2 linked regions of the Astyanax mexicanus genome follow. The protein of the gene in region 2 purifies or fractionates together with the protein of the main gene of each other region. This does not show direct contact. Links are inferred from orthologs where the notes say so. Each region holds a gene or a part of one and is shown on either strand. Other genes may lie near its edges.

The links.
Region 1: the proteins of psmb2 (region 2) and psmd5 fractionate together in Homo sapiens (co-fractionation; 3 studies listed by BioGRID). This does not show direct contact. The link is inferred for Astyanax mexicanus from reciprocal best matches to the Homo sapiens genes PSMB2 and PSMD5.

What each region holds. Positions count from the first base shown.
Region 1 is NC_064424.1:26,330,129-26,340,145, forward strand, and holds the start of psmd5 (26S proteasome non-ATPase regulatory subunit 5), read left to right. Parts: upstream 1-5,971; 5' UTR 5,972-6,009; coding exon 6,010-6,186; intron 6,187-8,362; coding exon 8,363-8,503; intron 8,504-9,052; coding exon 9,053-9,166; intron 9,167-9,640; coding exon 9,641-9,769; intron 9,770-10,017. UniProt on the Homo sapiens protein: Acts as a chaperone during the assembly of the 26S proteasome, specifically of the base subcomplex of the PA700/19S regulatory complex (RC).
Region 2 is NC_064410.1:53,480,469-53,491,350, reverse strand, and holds the start of psmb2 (proteasome subunit beta type-2), read left to right. Parts: upstream 1-6,794; 5' UTR 6,795-6,926; coding exon 6,927-7,017; intron 7,018-8,855; coding exon 8,856-8,978; intron 8,979-9,376; coding exon 9,377-9,447; intron 9,448-10,882. UniProt on the Homo sapiens protein: Non-catalytic component of the 20S core proteasome complex involved in the proteolytic degradation of most intracellular proteins. This complex plays numerous essential roles within the cell by associating with different regulatory particles.

The sequences.
Region 1 (10,017 bases), on a different chromosome or scaffold from region 2:
AGTATATTCAGGTAGTCAGCTGACCTGATTCTTTTTCTCAGCACATACTGTTGCTGAACCTAGACCTGACCAACTGCAGCAACCCCAGATAATTTACTTTTTTTTGGCCAGGCTGTGTAAGGGTTAAATGATCTACAATAATTTTAATAAATCAACACTTTCTTCAAAAACAATGACAATTTATTAATATTTTAATAAAATAATTATCTGCATTATATAGCTCTGGAAAAAAGAGACCACTTAAAAATAATGAGTTTCTTTGATTTTACCAAAGTGAAAACCTCTTAAATATAATCAAAAGAAAATGGAAGGGAAACTGCTTGAATTTCTGCACCAGGAGTGGTATAAAGTTATGCAAAAGAAGTGTGTAAGACTGGTGGAGGAGAACATGCCAAGATGCATGAAAACTGTAATTAAAAACTAGGGTTATTCCACCAAGTATTGCTTTCTGAACTCTTAAAACTTTATTAAAAGTTTGTATTATTTTAGTTCTGAACTGTTTATCTGCAAAAACAATTTCTTTAAAAATTCATCATACATCTATATAAGAAAATGTTTTCTTATTTCTGCACACATTTCTAATTTATCTGCCTTTATGTCTTGAAAATAATTATCTGCATTACCTAAAACACAATCTGCAAATATTTATTAAAGAAATTAAAAACTACATTATTTCTTAAAAACATTAAATTATCTATATTACTTTTTTTTTATCTGATATACATGTTTAAAAAATATAAATGTTATTTTTAACAAATACAATCTGTTTTTTAGGAAGAAAAGGCATTGTTTTTTTAAAAGCTAAATTATATACTTCATACGTATCTATAAAATGGACAAAACATCTAAATTCATACATTTTGCTACAAGCTTATTGATTTTTAGAAAAAGGCATAAAGTATACACTATTTGTTTAAAAAAAGCATAATTATCTTTTCTTTAAAAAAAAAAAGCTAAACTAAACTGTCAATAAAAATACTTTTTTTCTAGGACTAAAAGATGTATGATATTGTTTCTCAGAAAGAGAACTGTTAGACAGGTAGACTAGACTGAAGATTAGATCTGATCTATGCAGTGCGACTGAATGCAGAACCCCTCCCGGCTGCAGCGCAGACCAACCTGCACATTAACTCAGCTGCTCTTCTTAATAGTGACCTCCTCAGAGTCCTTCATCATCCGGAGAGCTTTGCAGTGTGAAGCTGGGGGGGCGGCTGATGGCTGATTTGGTTCTCGGGTATACGGTGTAATGATGGGTGGAGGGTGGGGGTTATTAAAGGCAGCAGCCGGACCGCAACCAGCAATCAGCCGCAATCTCTCTTTTACCCTCCATTTCTGCGGGTTGGGTCGCTGAAGAGTCTCTCCCTGCAGGACCAGGCAGGAATGTTACACCTTCATGCTGAGGAGCATCCCAACCTCCTGGGCTAATGGAAGCACAAAGGCTACCATATACAGCCAACATGGAGCCCAATTAACAGCTAACAACACAGCTTTTGTAAGACTTACTCAGATCTGATAAGTATGTACACTGTATGTACCAATGTTTGTAGTGGTCATACTGAACACTGGGGCTCGAAATTCAATACCAAAAAGGCATCGAATGAAACGCATGAAACGCGCATAAAAGCACAGAATGCGGAGAAAGCGCACAGCGTGGTAAAAACAACCATGATCGTGCCCTGGTGCAGATAAGTGGATACAATATTTTGAGATGAGTTGGGGAGCTCAGGATGAAGTGAGGTGGTGATAATACAACATCATGACCTCACTAAGGTTCTTTCCACTGAATGCAATAAAATGCTTACACGTACAGGCAGTTACTCAAAAAAAAAAGCAAGATAATTTTTCATACTCTTGATTTCTTAAGAAACAATGAAAGAGCAGGTGTATCTAATTTTAAACCTTTGTACATAACCTTCACTACTGCCATTATTTAGCACTCTATAGGTTCCATCTGCATGATCCAGTCTTGCTCACATTTTAAACTGCTGCTAGTGTTTAATGACAGCTAAACATGCTAGGAGTAGAAGCGTAACACAACAACAACCTATAAAAATCTATCTTCTTTGCCAACTAATCACAAAGGCCTACACATAATGAAACAGCATATCCAATCCTGGCCCACATCCTATATTCTGGAGAGCCCAGGTGCAGACTCTAGAGTTTTCCTGATCCCTGATGGAATATTGGAGGTGCAGTAGTGTTTCTCCCACTCAATGGAGTCACTAACCTGGAAAACCTGGAGTAATCCCTCAGCGATCCGGCAGTAGTCCGGCCGCGTGCCAGCACATAGCAGAGATTAGCATTTTACACTCAGCTGAGGTTTTGTGCGCGCGCACACATACTTTTTTAGCACTGTGCAGCTTGGTGTGGATCTAGCACACTTGACCTAACTTCATGATTACACTGAAAATAACGTCGCTTGCACACTTCTTATATAAAGTTATAATTTGTTGAGCCAACATAACTTGCCAATGCTCAATGAAATCTGAAGTGAACTGAAATAGATATATTCAGTTATTTGCAGGTATTACATAATTTTAAGGCTTAATATAACATCTTTACATTTAACATCTTCACAAGTAGAACAAAGCTTTTGGGAAAGACTAAACATTGATGGTGAATATAAAGAGGGGAGACACACCCAGTATGCAATGATTTACACATCTAAGTTGCTTTGCACAAAGTCAGTGGCCAATGAAATTACTTGGGTGTGTGGCCATGCCAGTCATATCATGCATGCAGAAATTTAAATGTAAATTAATTACATTGTGTCAACAAGACACAATGAAGTGTAATAAAACAATAATTTATTTGTGTTGACAAAACACTATGCATTTATGTTTAAATGCAGTTGAATCTGTCTCCTCTATATCCACTGGATTAGTTTGGTAAAGGTATGTGGTGTAAAACACAGAGTTACTTACATTGTACCAGTGCTTGGAGGGGCAAAAGCTCCAAACTACCATCAGCCATTCTGGTCTTTGCTAAATCCATTGGTAAATCTGATCTTCGTCGGTTTTAACATGCAGTGCTGTGGCTATTTACTTTTCTTCCACTCATCCACTCTGAAACACACATTCAAAAATCAATATTACAAAAAATATTCTAAAACAGTAAAGTGCATTGCACACAGGGTCTATATTATACCTAGGCCTGCTTTAATGGGTTTATATAAAGCTATTGTGTTTTTATGTGAACACAGCATCTACAGAGCTGAACAGCTGGATTGGAGAACAGCTCAGTTTACAACCACTTGCCCTATTCAAGCATCAAATGTAATAAGTAATAACATTTATTATTCAGGTAGAAGTACAGATGATAGGGTTTAAAATACTTCTTTATATATGTTGAATAATCAGCCCCCCCCCCCCCTGTCCTTTTTTAACATTTTCCACACATTTTTGTAAAAGAAATAATTACTATATTGTTATATTTAAATGATAATGTTGATAAATTTGGGATGCACTAGTCTCTCTATTTCAGCTGCATATATACCCATTGAAAATGAGCAGGTGTGATGGATCGCATATGAAACAATTATTTTTCTTTACTGTTAAAAGGTTATGGTCATATAGGTGACCTATAAACCGTATTTTTATAGTTTTACAGTTCATTATTATTTTTTAACTTGCCATTGCTATGCTTTAACTGCTATTTACATGTTTTTTTTTTAACATCCAAGCAGATTTTTTAATGTTCCTAATAAAAACTTAAGGAATTATCATTAAAAACCTAAAAACATACAAAAAGAATGTTTTTACATGCGCAGTGCTGTAAAGAAGCACATATCGATGGGTAGCATAACTCGACAGAACACCGGTTCCCCGGAGCCGCGCACACAGATCCCAGGCTACACAGCTGATTCACACAGCGTCTCTCCCGCTAACCATAATAAACACTGCTGGGAAAAGTTCAGCTGCGCTGCCATGGAGAACAAAACTCAATTTTGTTTTAATTCAAACAATTTGTTTTTTTTTCCCAGCATTTTATTTTTTTACTCAGTAACGGGGAGTTTTCCAAAGTAGCAAAGTAAATTACTTGTGTCAAAATGTACTTGAGTAAAAGTAAAATTACCTAATTTAAAAACTACTTTAAAAATTACAAATTACTCATAAAATCTACTCAATTACAGTAATGTGAGTAAATGTAATTAGTTACTTTCCACCTCTGATGTTTATACTTCTCATCCAACTACAATCAAATTCACTCTGTCTGGATGGAGAGATTAAATGATTTGAACGATGAGAAGCCGGAATGAAAACAAGAGGAAGTTTTTTTTTAAATGTAAGGAGTAGAAAGAACAGATGATTGTGTATAAATGTAAGGAGTGGAAGTAAAAGTGGTGTGAAAAATAATTACTCCAGTAAAATATAGATAACCAACATTTCTACTTAAGTAACGTAATGAAGTATTAGTACTTTGTTTTTTGATACCTCTGTCAAGCATAATGAACAGATGCCCTGATATAAATTGAGTGTAAACCCTTGTTCAGAGACTAAACTGGGGATTTCATGGGCCAATAAATGTTTAAGCGTTGTCTGATCATGTCTGCATTAAACAAGCTACCTAGAGGCAGCCAGTGTTTACCTCAGACTTCCCTAACCTGCTATCAGTAATCCAGTTTCTGTACAGCAGCTCCCTCTACTGGCAGCACCCATATATCAGCAGATCTCAGGTGATTTAGTATTTCTAAAACACAGCTTCAATAACGTGAATAAATAGGCATACGTAATCTGTCTTATATAATAACCCTCCAATATACAGGATTTAACTAGAGTCCAAATATGGCTTTTTACACACAAACATAACACTGTATATACATATTTTATATTACACAATATCTTCAAACGTTTGAATGAATGCTTTCATTTACTTTAAGTTGCACCCAGAGAGGGATTGTTGATACAGATGTGTAGATGCACACACAGCTTGTCTAGTCCCTGTAGAGAAGCATTATATAAAAATATAATTGGACCTACTGAGATATACATGAACCTATTAACACAATGCATAATGTCAGACATGGGCTAGATGGGTATACACTATTTACATAGGTCACTATCCTAAAGGGCTAGAATCAAATGATCTGATCAGCTGAGGGTGTAGATTTTACCACAGGTGGCCATGCAGAATCACGGGGAGATGATTTAGGCAACAAAGGATTATTTAAGGAAGGAAATGATTAGTAGTATATATATTTTTTTTTTAATTTTAGCTAAAGCTGTTTGGCATTTTATTAGATTTTATTTTTTAGTATGTATTAAAATATTGTTTAATCTTTTTCGTTTAGTTTAGTTAGCTTTCTTGTAACACGAAGAACCAACTAATTTTAAAGTCGCTTCTAACAAAAGTTTAATAAAATGCCAAACATAGGAGGCCCATCTTTGCTGGCTTCCAATAGTCCCTATGTTCACACATCTGCAAAAAAAACAAAACAAAACAAACCCACAATCACAAAAACTACACACTGCGCTACTCAAAAGCTCTTATTTGTTTGTGTAAATATCAATGTGGTCAATTTTTTTTAAGTTCGACTTACTTTTTAAAATCTGTGATTTTGCTTTAAAATAACAAATATTTTACTTATGGTTGTACATACATTATTTAACATATTTTTAATTGTATAACTTATTTAATTTTAGTTTTTTTTATAAGGTAAAAAGAGGCATTGGTGTTACTTAGCTTGATAAAACCATTGTTTCAGATCTTTCAGTTACACGTAGGTCAAAATATTAACGTTTAATCAATATTTCGAAAATAACATATACTACACTAAGTAGCAATAAAATATTTTAAATTAGCTAATGATGCAGAGATACTAAATTCGAGATACTAAATGGAAAAATCGAGGTATTAAGTGAATATTTGGACAATGCAGTATTTTCAGTTTTCTTATTCACAGAATTGCTGCTTGATTTTCTTCTCCAGTCTGCGTAACTGCAGTGCAGGCCTGATGCGCACCGACACTCTTCCTCCGCGGCGGTAACACCGTTCAAACAGAGGAGCATCATGGCGGCGGCCATAGAGCGGCTGCTGTCCGAAATCTCGGAGTCGGAGGAGCCGATAGAGGAGCTGAGGTGCCTCAGTACTGCCGTGTCCGCGACCCCGCTGAGCGCGCTGAGAGAGAGCCTGTCCCCGGAGAAGCTGGGGCTCATTTTCTCTCTGCTGAACACCAGCGACAGGCAGGTTATTACAGGAGGCTGAGTCAGCTTAGCAACCTTCCACCTTAACAACCCGGCCAGACTCAGCAGCTGTTTACTTTAAGTTACTGCAGGGTCTAACTCACAGAGCAACTTCACAGAGCTGAACTAGACTGACTGCTGAATTTACTGACTCAGACTGGGTTACTGTTGAACTAATTCTGAATCAGGAGACTGACTGACAGCATTAGCATTAGCCCCAACTTACCTGTCAGTCCTGTAGCTGAACTAACTGACCACTGTTAACTACTAGCTAAACTAGCTAACCTTAATGGGGCGACAGGTACTCTTTCTGAACCCATACAACTAAAGTTAATACGTATTACGGTATAATATATAGTTAACTACTGATATGATGTTTAGTCAAGCATTAAATATGTTAACTTTAAATTAGCTAAGATAAAAAAGAGGTCACTAAAGAGGTTTCAGATTTTCAGATCTAATTTTTATATGGCTGTGTAAACGTGCCAAATGTTGACAACTTTTCTAGGTGCAGATTTCATTTTCCAGCAGGACTGCCCACACTGCCAAAAGTACTGACGTGTCTTGTTGACACGTCAGAAGGGGGAATTGAAGAGTTAACCGTTTATTATACCTTGGGTGTGTTGACAAATATCCTTCAATAATGATTACTTAACTTTAGCATCTACAATCACATAATCATTGTGTGAAACCTTGTATTTTATATGCATTTATATAGAAGATTAACCAATACTCACATTGTATTTTATACACATTTATATAGAAGATTAACCAATACTCACAATATATATTCTTTCCACATATAGTTAAACATTGCTTGATCAGGCATGTAACTAACACAGGCTCTATTATATGACAAACTAACCCACATGATACATAAGGCATTTAACTAACACATAGGATCTATTGTATGGCGTACTAACCACGTGTTACTGACATATTAGCATATAACATATGGAATCTATTGTGTGACTTGTTTAGCTCACGCTTAAGGCATTTGGTCACTGCATGATCCTAACTAACGGCCAAACAATGCCACACTGTCTGGCTGGACACAGTCAAGGCCAAACACTAGTGGTCTGGCCAGACACGTGAAATTATGCATATTAACATGAGCTAATCATTAGCAACGCCTCATCAGCAGGTTTCACGTCATTTGGGGTATAAACATGGAGTCAGATCAGAGGGGGGTCAGAACTTTTACTGGGACGGCTGTTAACTGTCTTGTATGTATCGGTTCTCCTGAATTCAGTATTTTGTAATAAATACTTGATTTGCTTTCAACTTCACTCCACCTGTCTGCGACTCTCTCCATCAAAACGAACACGTAGGGGAGTTGTACCCCGGATGAGGGGTGGGGGGAAACCCATCTTTCATTTTCTTTTTACAACAGTACCAATTGGTCTTGTATAATATTTAAATTTTCTGAAATACTGATTTTTGGGTTTTCATTGGCTGTAAGCCATAATCATCAACAATAAAAGAAAAAAACGCTTAAAATAGACTACTCTGTGTTTAATACATTTATATAATGAGTTTTACATTTTAAACTGTATTACCGAAGTAAAGTAACTTTTTAATGATATTCACATTTTTTGAGATGCACTAGTATACTTTGTTGATATGTTGTTTAGTCAGGCATTGAAGATTAAGACAATGTTACCCTAAAATAGTATTTTATCACTATTTAGACATATTAACACAGTGACTGAAAGAACGTCAATATTGTGAGCTAATAAAAGCTAAAATTTCATTATTATAAGATGCTGAATCGAAAACTAACTTTTAATCCAGTATTAAAGGAAGTGACCCTTCTGAGATCCAAGATAAAAATAAAATAAAATGTTAGTTCTGTAACTAGGACTAGCCAGCTAATTATTAACTATAAGCAGCACTAGCTAAGATAGCTAACATTTTTCCATCCACCTTAAATATTGCAGCAGTCACTTTATGGAGTTTCTACTTTGTGAAGCTATTCACCTTATATTACTTTACAGTAAAAACTTATCCACTGTATAAACCTATTGTATTTGTGGGCAGTGACAATGTTTACTTATGGGTGTTTTGTGTAGAGTTTCACAATTGAAATGGGTCTAAGTGCTTATAACACATGATCATTGAGGAGTTTTTGTTCAAGTCTCTCTCTACATCTCTTTGTCTGTATCTGTGTATCCAGGGAGCAGGTTAAGGTGTGTGTGGAGATCTTGGGACGTGTCTTGCAGGTGTTGGATCCTGTTCAGTTGGCTCAGAACTGCAAATTAGAGCTGCAGAGTGGGCTGAACCATCCTGATGATTCTGTTAAAGTGCTGGGTCTCCAACAGGTTCGTGGTAAAGTCCATCTTCCATTTACTGTGATGTTGAGTAGGGGTATAACCTGTTGTATCGTTTATAAAATCTAAATAACTTGTCCTACTAAAACAGTAAAAACTCCTATAATGTGATAATAGAAGTATTTACTGTGAGGCTTTGAGGGTGTATTTGTAATATATATATATATATATATATATATATATATATATATATATATATATATATATACATACATACATACACACATGATGTTTTTTATTTATTTATTTGCATGCACAAAATCTTTGGTTAGTTTGGTGGTAGATTTTGTTATGTTACAGTTTTTTCAGTTTTTATGTTTGTATTTAATAAAAAAAAGAATGTTATTTTGTTTACAAAATGGAAGTTTTGTTTCTACTGAATGTTTAAAACTAAATAGAATAAAAGCATTTATTTTGTTGCAGTACTTTATTCTTGAAATTAATAATATCTTTTTCAGTGTTTTTATCATATTGCCAAAAAATATGTAATACCCTAACATATGCTTTAGTTTTATGAGTGTCCTTTTCTTGTGTTTGTAGATTAGTCGGGTGATTGGCCACTCTGAGGGGATCACAGAGATGCTGAACAGTCCTGAGGTTCTGCGGGATGTAATCCGATGTGTGGGAGCAGAACGTATAGGCGTTGCCAAAGAGGTACAGTAGCTTTGTAGAGTGTAAAGTCATGTTAGCTTAGCTTCTGGAGAGCTGCAGGTTAATATTTTGACATTTAGTGATCTAGTTGAGAGATCCTGCTCTGTGAAATCCTCCTGGTCCTCAAAGGCTCTAGAATGTAGCTCTGTTCTGTTGTGTGGGTTGATGTCTTAACCTCTGTAACTCTTTCTTTTACGGATTTACTGATTCATTCATGTTACAGGCTGTATTTCAGGGAATTGACTCTGGGTATGTGAATTAAAATGTGTCTTTTTTTCTTCTACAATAACAACCATTGATTGACACAGTATGAGCATCAGGTTCAGTTATTTGGATCAGCACCACATATCAGCCTAATTATTCAATACTTTCTGATAATATTAGGACTCTGATTAGGATCTCTGATTCAAGTATCAGAAAGCTGCATCCCTGCGTTCTTTACAAGCTCTTGTTTGTTCTATATTTTATCCCTTATAGGCCATTTCTGCCCTCAGCATGCTGAGTAACACCAAGGCGGGGCTTGATGCTCTCTTCCGCTCCGATTTGCTGAAGGAGCTCAAGGACGTGATGGGCATCAGTGATGTCATCAGATACAGAGTGTATGAGGTAAGCATCAGTCATCCCACTGACTAACACAGTGGCACCTGTTGATGACACAGCTGTGCAAATTCACACCCACACACAGCTTCTTCTCACACAGTCGCTGTAGAGATTTACTGCCAATAGAAAAGGACTCTTCAGAGCAGATAAACATGAACTCAGTGGCATCATGCCTAATGCCAGCTGTGGGTTATAGCAGCCTAAATTCCCCCAGCATTGAGCTGTGGAACAGTAAATCTGTGTTCTCTGGAACA
Region 2 (10,882 bases):
CACTCTCTTTCAACTGCTCACATTGATTAATTGTATTTTTTTTAACACCATTTATCAACACCAGGCCACAATCTCAGGATTTGTGTGTGTGTATGTGGCATATGTTCCCTCCTCTGATACAAAACTCGCACTTAACTCATGAATATAATTAATCCAGCCTGTCCCTCTCTTCTTAATCTGAGTTCAAAACCTGTCGCAGTCCAGCAAACTCTACCCCAAGGCTATGCATCCATAATCCCTATACTCAGATGAGTCCCGCTGGGGCATGGTAGAAACAGTGTGTCTGTCAATCCACGGTGCTGTGCTGTGCTTTTTTTCTTCCTTTCCTTTTTTTTGCTTCTACTCTGGCAGTAGAACTGATTCCCTTCAATAGGAACAATAAGATATACGTCTGTTTTATCAGGAGACAGCAGAACGGGACACTTTCTGCTCAGTAAATGCTGCTTTTGTGGCGTGTTTCAGTAGTGAAGCCAGCGAATATGCTTTTACCACTTTTTGAGCATGGGAATATAGGGCCTAGCTCATTTTCTGCAATTGAAAAAGAACCAAAAATAATAATAGTGGAAAAGGGACTGGAAGATAATCATCTTTCCATTAAACTTTCATCCAAAGCAAGTTTGATGTTCAAGGGGCCCAATTATAGCTTGTGTGTTTTCACCAGAGCATTTACAGCTAGTGTATCTGGCTCAAGGCTGCTGCGAGGGCATCATTATGGGAGCGGAGTGAGTGGGATTTGACCCCACAACACGCTGATGGACACAAACCAGATGCAACCTTGAACAGTGTGACGGATGATTAAATAAAGCATACACAGTGAGGTGTATAGATTTTCCGAGCAGATAGCATGGGTGGGATGGCGGGGGGAGCGTTGTGCCAGGATTTGTGTCACCACAGTCTGTGCGTGTGTGTGTGTGTGTGAGTGAGAGAGAGAGAGTGCATGCGTGTGTGTGTGTCTCAGTGTATTAGCAGTCAGAGCACTGGGGCCCGGAGGCGATTCCTGTGTGTGCTTGCGATAAAGGGGGAAAGGGAGGAAGTTAGAGAGGGGTGGGGGTGAGTGATGTGGGTTGGGGTGGTGGGGGGGGGGGGGGTGATGGAAGATGGAGAGAGAGAAAGAGTTAGAAGAAGAAGAGAAGGAGGAGGAGATGGAGGATGTTAAGAGGGATAGAGGAAGGGAGGGTGGTAGAGATAGAGAAGGAGAAAGAAGTGAATGAGAAGTGGAGGAAAGAAACAAGGGCGAAAAACCAGCAGAGTTTGGAGCTTCCATGATGCTGTCAAGACTCCTGGATCATGTCCCCATCGGGCTCTCTTGCTCTCTCTCTCTCTCTCTCTCTCTCTCTCTCTCTCTCTCTCTTTCCCTCCCTGTTTCCCTCTTTCTCTTTGTGTGTGTGTGTCTCGCTTTCTCTCCCTCTCATGAAACGAGGGGAAGAGTGTCTTGGCAGGGTAATTAAGAATGGCCTCTAAACACAGGAGTATGGCAGGAACGCTCCAGATGAAAGTAAATGATTAAAATAATTACAGGCTCTGAGCTGACGAGCTGGAGTGCGGGGTGGCCGCCGGACATTTGTCGGTAATTAGATAATTAATCTGAATGCAAATTATGAGTCCTAACGAAGCAGTCAGGCTGAACCAGTGACAAATGCCGAGAGAGAAAGAAAGAAAAAGAGAGAGAGATAGAGAGAGAGAGTGGGGTTGGGGGGATACAGAGAAAAATTTAAATGAGTATGACACATCCGGTCTCACTTTCACTACAATGATTCCCTGTGCATCTATCATAAATTCATTTCAAATATGCTATAGGAGCTGTAGACAAAAATAAAAAAACTAGAAACCTGGGCCTGTACAGGAAGAGGAGAAGATGAGACACAAACATCATTAAAAGTCCACACGATGCTTGCAGTGTAAGAAAATTACATTTCAATCATCTTTCCAAAGTAATAACAATAACACGATTGTTTTTTTTTTTTACTTTTGATTTTTATGATCTGTTTATTCTAGCTGATATACAAATTCTGACTTTTATACATTTATCAGAGAAGGAATGTGCTAGTTTTCACCCTTACAGACTTAGGGGCCTTAGTAGTGTTAGTGGGTAAAAGTTTGAGCGAAAATTGGGGCACCACACAGTTTAGCAAAAAGTCTGTGGATACATTTGCATTCCACCATTTAGCCATGTCTTTTTACTATTTTGACAAAAAGTACCATTGCAACCACCTAAGCAACATCTTAGCACCTACTTTTTTTGTATTTGTCAGATTTGATTTTTTTTAAATGTGTTTACATTTAATTTATTTGGATTGACTTGTTTTTACTTTTATTATTTTAAAGATTTCTTTTTTCAAAATTATATTTTGATCTTTTACTATTATTCATTTATGCTGTATTTTATATTATATTTATTTTTATCAATACTGTTTTCCCTTTTTAGTGTACTTACTGTATTCTGTTTGATCATTTTAATCCTGAGTTTAAATAAAGGTTGATTAATTAAACTTCATCATAGCAACACTTTAAACAACCATCTGGCAAAACCATTGCAACCAATAACTAAAGTATAGCAAAACCATTGCAGCACCTTGGTAACAAACACATTTACCTAGCAACTTTTTAGCCAACACATACAGCTATACCATAGTAATCATAGTAAACTGCATTCACACTCACAGTTTTTGCTGTTCTCTCTAGTTTTAACTGCTATAGGCCGTGTTGCATAGTGGGTCACAACATCAAAGCATAAGAAATAAAATCAAGACTGTGGCGTAGGCAAAGGGAAGCATTTTGAAGGGCTTTTCAAGGCTTTAAAGAAATCTTTTGATCAGCCTGAAAAAATACAGGGTAATTTGCGCTCTGTGCCTTCGTTTAATCTGCTTGGGGAGACAGACTGCGTCCTCTGAGCTGGATCTGTAGGACACAGTCTGAGCATCAGTGTGAATCATTCTTAGTAATTTAGGTTACTCAGCAGGAAAAATAACAAAAAACGAATTTTATATTCCCAGTGTATATCATCTTATTTAGAGGAGAACAACATCAGTAGCCCAAAGCTCTGATCTGCATCAGCGGTCTGCAAAGGACTGGCCTACACTTGGGGTCACCGGTCTTATACACAGAAAGAGCCAGTGTTAGTGCTGGTTTTCTTCAGCTTATTGTTTTACCTCATCTGCTCATATCTGAATACCTGTAAATGTTACTGTGATGTCCAGTCTCTACCTTAACATACGTTCTCATAGAAAATAATAAAAATGATGGCCTGTGAAACAAACAAAATTAAACTTAAGCTTGATAGCATAATCAATTTTATTTGTATTGTTTATCTATTTAATCACAATGTGCAAATATATATCTGAAAATAGCACCCTGTGCCCAAGCAATTAGATGCAGTATATTAATAGCACAAGTCTGTAAGTTCTTAAGACTATGTAACAGTTTACTACATATGGTGTACAGTCTATGGCTTTTACCAGGACTTTTGTTATGAAATTTAAACACAGTGAAAATAAATAGAGATATATAGGCTGGCCTTGTGTAGTGTTTTGCAGATACAAATTAATGATTAGTCCACTGCTGCACCATTAAAAAGCATCCCAATCGACTGTCTGATGACACTTCGGTTTCAGCAGCTCCACTCTGGCTTACAGGAAGGCCCTGTAGAAGATGCTGAAGAATGCTTACAGCTCTGTGCCACTGGAGACCTTCACCACAGTGCTTTGAATGTTATCTGAGCATGCAGCATCGTCTGAGACTCACCTACCATTCCAGCCAGACACACACTGTATAACCTCCTATCATCTATGAGTAGCCACAAGATTTTGTGTGGCAGAACCAGTTGGTTCGATCGGGACCTACTTTTGATGAGCTTCACACTACACAGATAAACACTACTACACTACTCCTAATATACTGCCCATATTCATTTATTGCTAACACTTATTAATAAGGATTGGAATCAGGAGTTAACAGAAAAGAAAAGTGCTAAAATTAAATGTAATAAAATATTTTTACACTAACTTACATTGAAAGTTAAGAAAGATTTATTTAGCTACTGTCAAATTGCTATTTTGCAGATTTTGACATGAAAGCAGCAATATATGGACAAAAGTATTGAGAAACATCACTGAAATCAACACTATTAAAAAAGTTTTTTTCTGCTTCTGCTGCTATCTGCCTCTACTGTCAAGATAAGCCTTTTTAGTTGATTTTGGAGCATTGTTGGGAGGATTTTCATAGCATTTAGTGACACAAGGTCAAACTATCATTCCAGAACTATTGTGTTTAGCATTATTTTGGGGAACACATTTGTCTATCTATCTGCCTTCATCTCCGCCTGCCTGTGTATGCAATGTGAGCTTTTAAGTGTTTATATAAAAAAAAAACATTATGTGCAGCAGAGCAGAGTTTCACGTGAGTACATGTGATGTATCAACTGGCCTGTGGCAGATCAGACATTAAATATGATATACTGTAGTGAGATTTAAACACATGCTCTATTGTAAATGTTTGAGACACACCAATAGTGAGCAAAAAAGTAAACGTAATTTGCTTGTTTAAAGTTATTTTAAGTAACGTTTGCTCTCTTGCTTCTGCTAAGGTTGGGTGAAAATGATCACAAATCCTACACAGAAGATCCTCACAACAACTGTGAAACGTCGTAGTGGTAGTGTGATGGTTTGGGGAAACTTTTGAACATCTCCTTTATATGGGCTCAGACTTATTACTATGATTCAGGGATTGCTGGTTTGCATTCCGGCTCATGCTGCTTGCCATGAGCACAACTGGCCATGCTCTCTCTCTGGTTGGGTTGATTTTCTCCCCACATTACTCCCAATGAGATGCTGGTCAGCACAGGCTGATGTTAGCTGATGTATGAGAGCTGAGTCCCTTTCCTCTGAGCGCACTGTCTACCCAGTAATTCATCAGCTGCAGTCCAAAAAGAGGCTGTATGTGGCTTCACTTTTATTGATATCTGGTGTTGGTGTTGTAATTGGCTTTCCAAATTTGGAATAAAATGAGATCAAATAAAATAAAATAAAAATTATTCAGACCAGGGGTCACCACTGTTACCCCATAATCACACTTGCTTCTATAATTAGTCCCATCTGTTCCATGTTATTAATGCCTTCAAATAAAATTAGTTATACTGTCACATCAAAAAACAGGTGTAATGGTGAGTGAAAAGCGATGTATAGTCCCTTATAGTAAAACACATACAGATATTTCATAATTATTACATAACCCATGAAATATAAAGATGATTATATTTCTATTTACATGCTGATGTTTGAAGATCTGAGATGAAGTTGTATCTACAGGATTGTTTCAGGCTATTGACTTGAAGCTGTTCTACAATGTGGAGTGGAGAGGAATTCTTCTGTAGCATTGTGAGACAAATAATTAACAACTACAAAAAGCATTTAGCATTTAGTTGCATTTATTGTTGCTACAGGGGATATAACAAGTTACTGAAAGAAAGAGGCCAATAACTGTTTCACACAGAGGGATTGGGTGTTGAATATCTTTTCTTAATAAATACATTCACATTAAATTACTTGTGCATTTGTTCCCTCAGGGTCTTTTCTGATTCAAGATGTAATGCCATTTAGTGGTTTGATGTTGCACAAATTCAGGAATGCAGACTACAGTAAACACTTATTTATAGTGGAATGCAAAAGTTTGTTTGTTCAGAAGTTCTGATACTGTAAATAAACTCATTAACTGATCCAGGTCTAAGTAAAATGACTATAAAAACAAGATGAGCCTGGAATCTGACAAAATTATTTATCCTCTTTTTTCCTTATTGGCTATAATTTGTGGCAATTAAAAAGACAATACGAAAAAAGGTTTGACTATTTTTTTTCAAAGTGGTTACACCAGTATACCAGTATACATTAAGGTCCAAAAATTGTTGCCTTAAATGAATGTCACAAATGAAAAAAAATGAAATATGGAGCTGCACATGTTCACTTTATTTAATGGCATTATTCGCATGGGTAAAAACATATTTACAGTACCAGTCAAACGTTCAGTGTAACATTTATCAGTTTAATTTTCTGTATTCTAAAAAAAAAATAAACTGGGTGTAAACTTATTCACTTATAAATAAGACTCATAAAACGAAATATTTCAGTAAGCCATTAGTATAGTGATTTTTTTTTCCAGTTGTCAAGTTTTTAATTTCTGCCCCTCACAATTATGATTTCAGTGAAAATAAAAGCTTGACTCTTTACTTAATTATTTAATTTTCCATTTCTGCATCTCGTAACATAAGGTGATTGGAGTATACCATCAGATTGGGAGAGGAAAATTTGAAATTGATTAATTGTTAGATTTTTTGTTCAATTCTGATTGTGAGGGGTAGAAATGTAAAAGTAGATAAATGAAAAAAAAAAACTATAAAAATCTAAAAAAATTACTTCACCAAATGTGAAAAACAAATAATGAAGTTTTACGTTTTTGCTGGTTTTTACTATTTTTTTTTTTTTTTTTTACTAATTTAGCCTCAGAAAAATGAACTGATAAACATTACACTGACCCACACCTCTTCTTCTCATTCAGTGTGATCCCTGTTTACATTGATTTGACTCCTATGATTTTTTTACATTGAACATTTTATATTGAAGACATTTAAGCTGTAAAAGAACACGTGGAATTATTTAGTAAACAAAAAGTGTTACACAAACCAGATATATGTTTTATACTTTAGATCTGCACATTCTTGGTATTTTAATCTAAGTGGCCAAAAAAAGACCCAACCTGCTGCATGCCACTGTATCTGCTGGTCATGCTGTGTCTGATAGAGTGACCACGTGACAACTGCAGCTTCAGCTCATGCAGTGTGGTGACGACAATCTCGCGCGCCGCTGTTCTTCTACTTCTGCTGTGTAATTCCGCCTGCATTCAGCGCTGAGTTTAGCTAACCCTGCTCGCTGTGAGAGATGGAGTATTTACTGGGGATCCAGGGGCAGGATTTCGTGCTGGTTGCGGCTGATAATGTGGCCGCCAGCAGCATCATCCAGATGAAACACGGTAAAGATTTAATAGCGTTTAAGGAGCGGCTAACTGTGAGGCTAAACGGCTAACCGGCTGCCTGTGTGATATAGTTAGCTAGCTAAGCTAAAGCTAAACTGATTAAGTTGATCTCTTCTGAGTAAATATTAAATAAACTGAGCCCAGAAGCATGTTTAATAAATGTTATAGTTATGCAGTTTGAGGATTTCCGCCCCTTTATCAACGTAAAACGTCTAGAAAGACGATTTTAGAGTCATTAGAGGGCTAACGCTAACTGTCTAGCTAAGCTAACTAACTAAGATAAGCTCTTTCTGTGGGTAGAACAGATTTTCTGCTCATATTTAATCAGCTAACGTTACCTACATTATACTGTATAATATATACATTTATAGAGCATACTGCTGTTAAAAACGTAAATTAAACATTATTTTCGTTTGTAATGTGTCTATAGCTAACATTATCAGAGTTATGATAAGGAGATGAGTTTGCAAATCCCTTATGAAAGTGAAAGTGACTTTTTTGTTGCTCATTTACTGGCGGATATTTATATATGTATTAAATAACTTAATTGATACAGTCACTTAACTATCTGTTCTCTGGTCAGTGTTTTAAAGCTTATATCATTTTGACACCTTCCGAAAATGTATTGACTAATTTTTAATTCAAGTTTAACTCAGGGAACACAAAGCACATATAACAGTTGTTATCGCTGTTTAAACATTAGTAATGTTTTAAGAGGTTAGTTTATCATACAGTAGAGCAGTAGAACCAACCAGAAACCTTAATCCTAATTAAAAAAAATAAGTTATAATTTTATAAACCACAAATTGTAGAGTATTTTTAGCTAGATTTATGGCTATTTTGCTGAATAAAATGCAGGCAAAAAAACTCAACTAAACCTTTATGCTCTATGTATAGCCTATACAAACATTAGCTTTTATTAACAAAAAGTAAACTTTATATTCTAATCAAAATCTCATTACTTGCCAATTGTGGATAAACCCTGAATCATGGAAGTTAGTTAAATGAAGGTAGATGTCCTCTTGGAAAGCTGATAAAAATGGGTTTGTCACGTTTTATTTTGACTTGGGCATAATAATTTAGTTCAAGTAACACTGTTAGGCCATATGCCATTATCTGAAAGGTCTGGAATCAAATGATCTGATCAACTGAGGTGTAGTGATTTTACCACAAGTGGCCATGCAGCAACATGAGGAGATGGTTTAGACAAAAAAGTCTATTTATTATTTAAGGAAAGTGACTACATGATACTGACTAGTTAAGCAATGTTTAGAAGCTTATGATAGTGATTTTTTTTGTACAGAGTGTGGTCCCCGATAGAACAATATTGTTGTTCTAAGACAGTTTTATGTAAATTATACAATAACAGTACAATACAATAGCGTATGCAGTTCCACCCTTAAACCTTAACTGTTTTTAAGAATAATTAGAAAATAGAAAATTGAGTAATAGAATTTGAATATTTTAAATGTTCTAAGTAAATAAAGTGTACATTTGTGAACATTTGCCAACACACTGGATCATTGATGTAAATGTACTTGCTTGGCGAACGCAGTATCATGGGCAGAATCTGGGTCAGTAATGTTATTAACAAACATATATTGTACAGTAACGTATGTGACATGTCTACGAAGACAATTGTTTAATAAAGTGAAGGAACAGTTTGTAAAATTAAGAGAACCATTTATTAAATTATTGTTTAATACATTTTGTGAAAGATTTGACTGTAAATATTATTTTTCTACCTTCACATTTTAGGAATTCTGTATATTGAATCTTTTTTGTGTTATGTTGGTGAGGGTTTAAAATCTAAAAATCTTTTTTTCCTCTTTCAGACTACGACAAAATGTTCAAACTAAGTGAGAAGATCCTGTTGTTATGTGTCGGCGAAGCTGGAGATACAGTGCAGTTTGCAGAGTATATTCAGAAAAATGTTCAGCTCTACAAAATGAGAAATGGTAAGTATTTGCTTAAAGAGCCAGAGAAAGGCTTTTAGCTTTAAAACTTTAGAAGTAATTTAACACTTTTAGTTTTTTTGTTAAAACATGGAATTTTCACAACTTAATCCGGCAGATATACAGTATTATTCAGATATTTAAGGCCTATAATCACATTACAAATTCAAGATTTTATTAGAACAGGTGCAGGGAAACAAAAAAACAGTAAACAGGAATTTTTGGAGAAAGTAGTTTAAAGAACAAAGCTTTCTCCAGCATGCGTTTAGTCAGCACATGGATATGTTCAGTTCTGATCAGCTTAACTGATTTAACCCCTTTAATGTACTGTAGGTGTAGTCTATTTTGTGACTTTTGTAATTCATTTTGGTTTTAAGTGCAATAACTATTTCTGTTTTTAGGGTATGAGCTCAGTCCAGCAGCTGCAGCAAATTTCACCAGGAAGAACCTAGCAGACTATCTCCGCAGCCGGGTGTGTATATACATTGTCTTAAAAAAAAGTATTTTTAAAAGCCCCTTTTTACATTTTTTTGTCTAGTGTTACCTCAGAAAATGTCCTTCAAGTTGTTGTTTATATAATGTTCACTTGAAACTGGTATGTTAAACTTTTTGGGGCTGCCAAAGCAAAGTGATTACTTTGCCATGTTGAGCTATGTAGTTGAGGATTAATTATTAATGCAGTTACATTTGTATTGATGCGTGATTAATCATAAAAATAAAGTAAACACAGGGTTTCTGAACAATTATGACCATATGTTTTAAAACTCCAGAATTCATATTGGGGTGGTCAATATGGTGAAAAAATATTTTAATATTTAAAGACATTTTCACATTATGAAATATTTGGCGCGGCCAGAATGCAAAGTACTACCCCGTTTTGTAGTGCTCAAATATTTTTACGAAGTTTGCTATAAAATCTATACATGCCCTGTAATCTCAGAATAACACTATCACTATATCACCATCAGAGTATGATATAGTATTGTCATTTTGCCTACTTATAGGATTAAGTAAATCTCATTATATCAATGTCATGTTTAGGAAGCATATTTAGTTTCACAATAAAAAACATGATCACAAAACAGTGACATATTGACATAATACATATTTGTAATGTACATATTCAGTGTAGTCTCACTGTGTGATTACATTTGGGTTTCCTGGCCCCACCAGCCCCCACCAGTGCTCATTTATTAGCACTAAACAAACCTGTAAACATAACTCACACTGGGTTGCCAGCGCTGCACAGTGTGCCACTAGCTGTGACTAAATGACCCGTGTTGACGCCGATCATAGACAGATGTCAGTTTGTTGTGAATGTGTGGAGGTGTGATCCGAGGTCTCTGAGGCTTAAACCTTTAGCACCTGGGTCTTCTCTGCAGCGCGATCCCACTAATCTCAGATGTCTTCTTCCCATGTGTATGTATGTATGTATGTGTGTGTGTATATGTGTGCCCATCTGTGTAAAAGGACTGCCACCATCCCAGTCCTGTTGTCTGGCAGTTTGTGCGTTAATTTGTTAGGAAGAGTGTAGCTGCTGCTTGTCACAATAGCAGAAGGGAGAAAATAATTACAAAAAACAATTAGAGCAGCTGATGCGGGAGGGGCTGCACAGGGAGAGGGGGCCTCCGGGGCATCAGGCCAGGATCCCAAATCAACATGCTTCAGCTGTAGCACTTCTACTGCACTTCTACTAGAGCATGCTTAAAGAACGGCCCACACCGGCTGCCTGTCAGGTCTGTTCCCCACAGGACCACTTTCACTATTGTGGTTTGTGGGGTTGGGTGTGGTTAAGCATTAAGTGTAATGAAAATCACTTGAATCTGAAATTGATATAATTACTTGTATCCTTGTTTTTGTCATCTCGGTTGACAGTGTAGGGCAATAGTGGCTCAGTAGTAGTAACA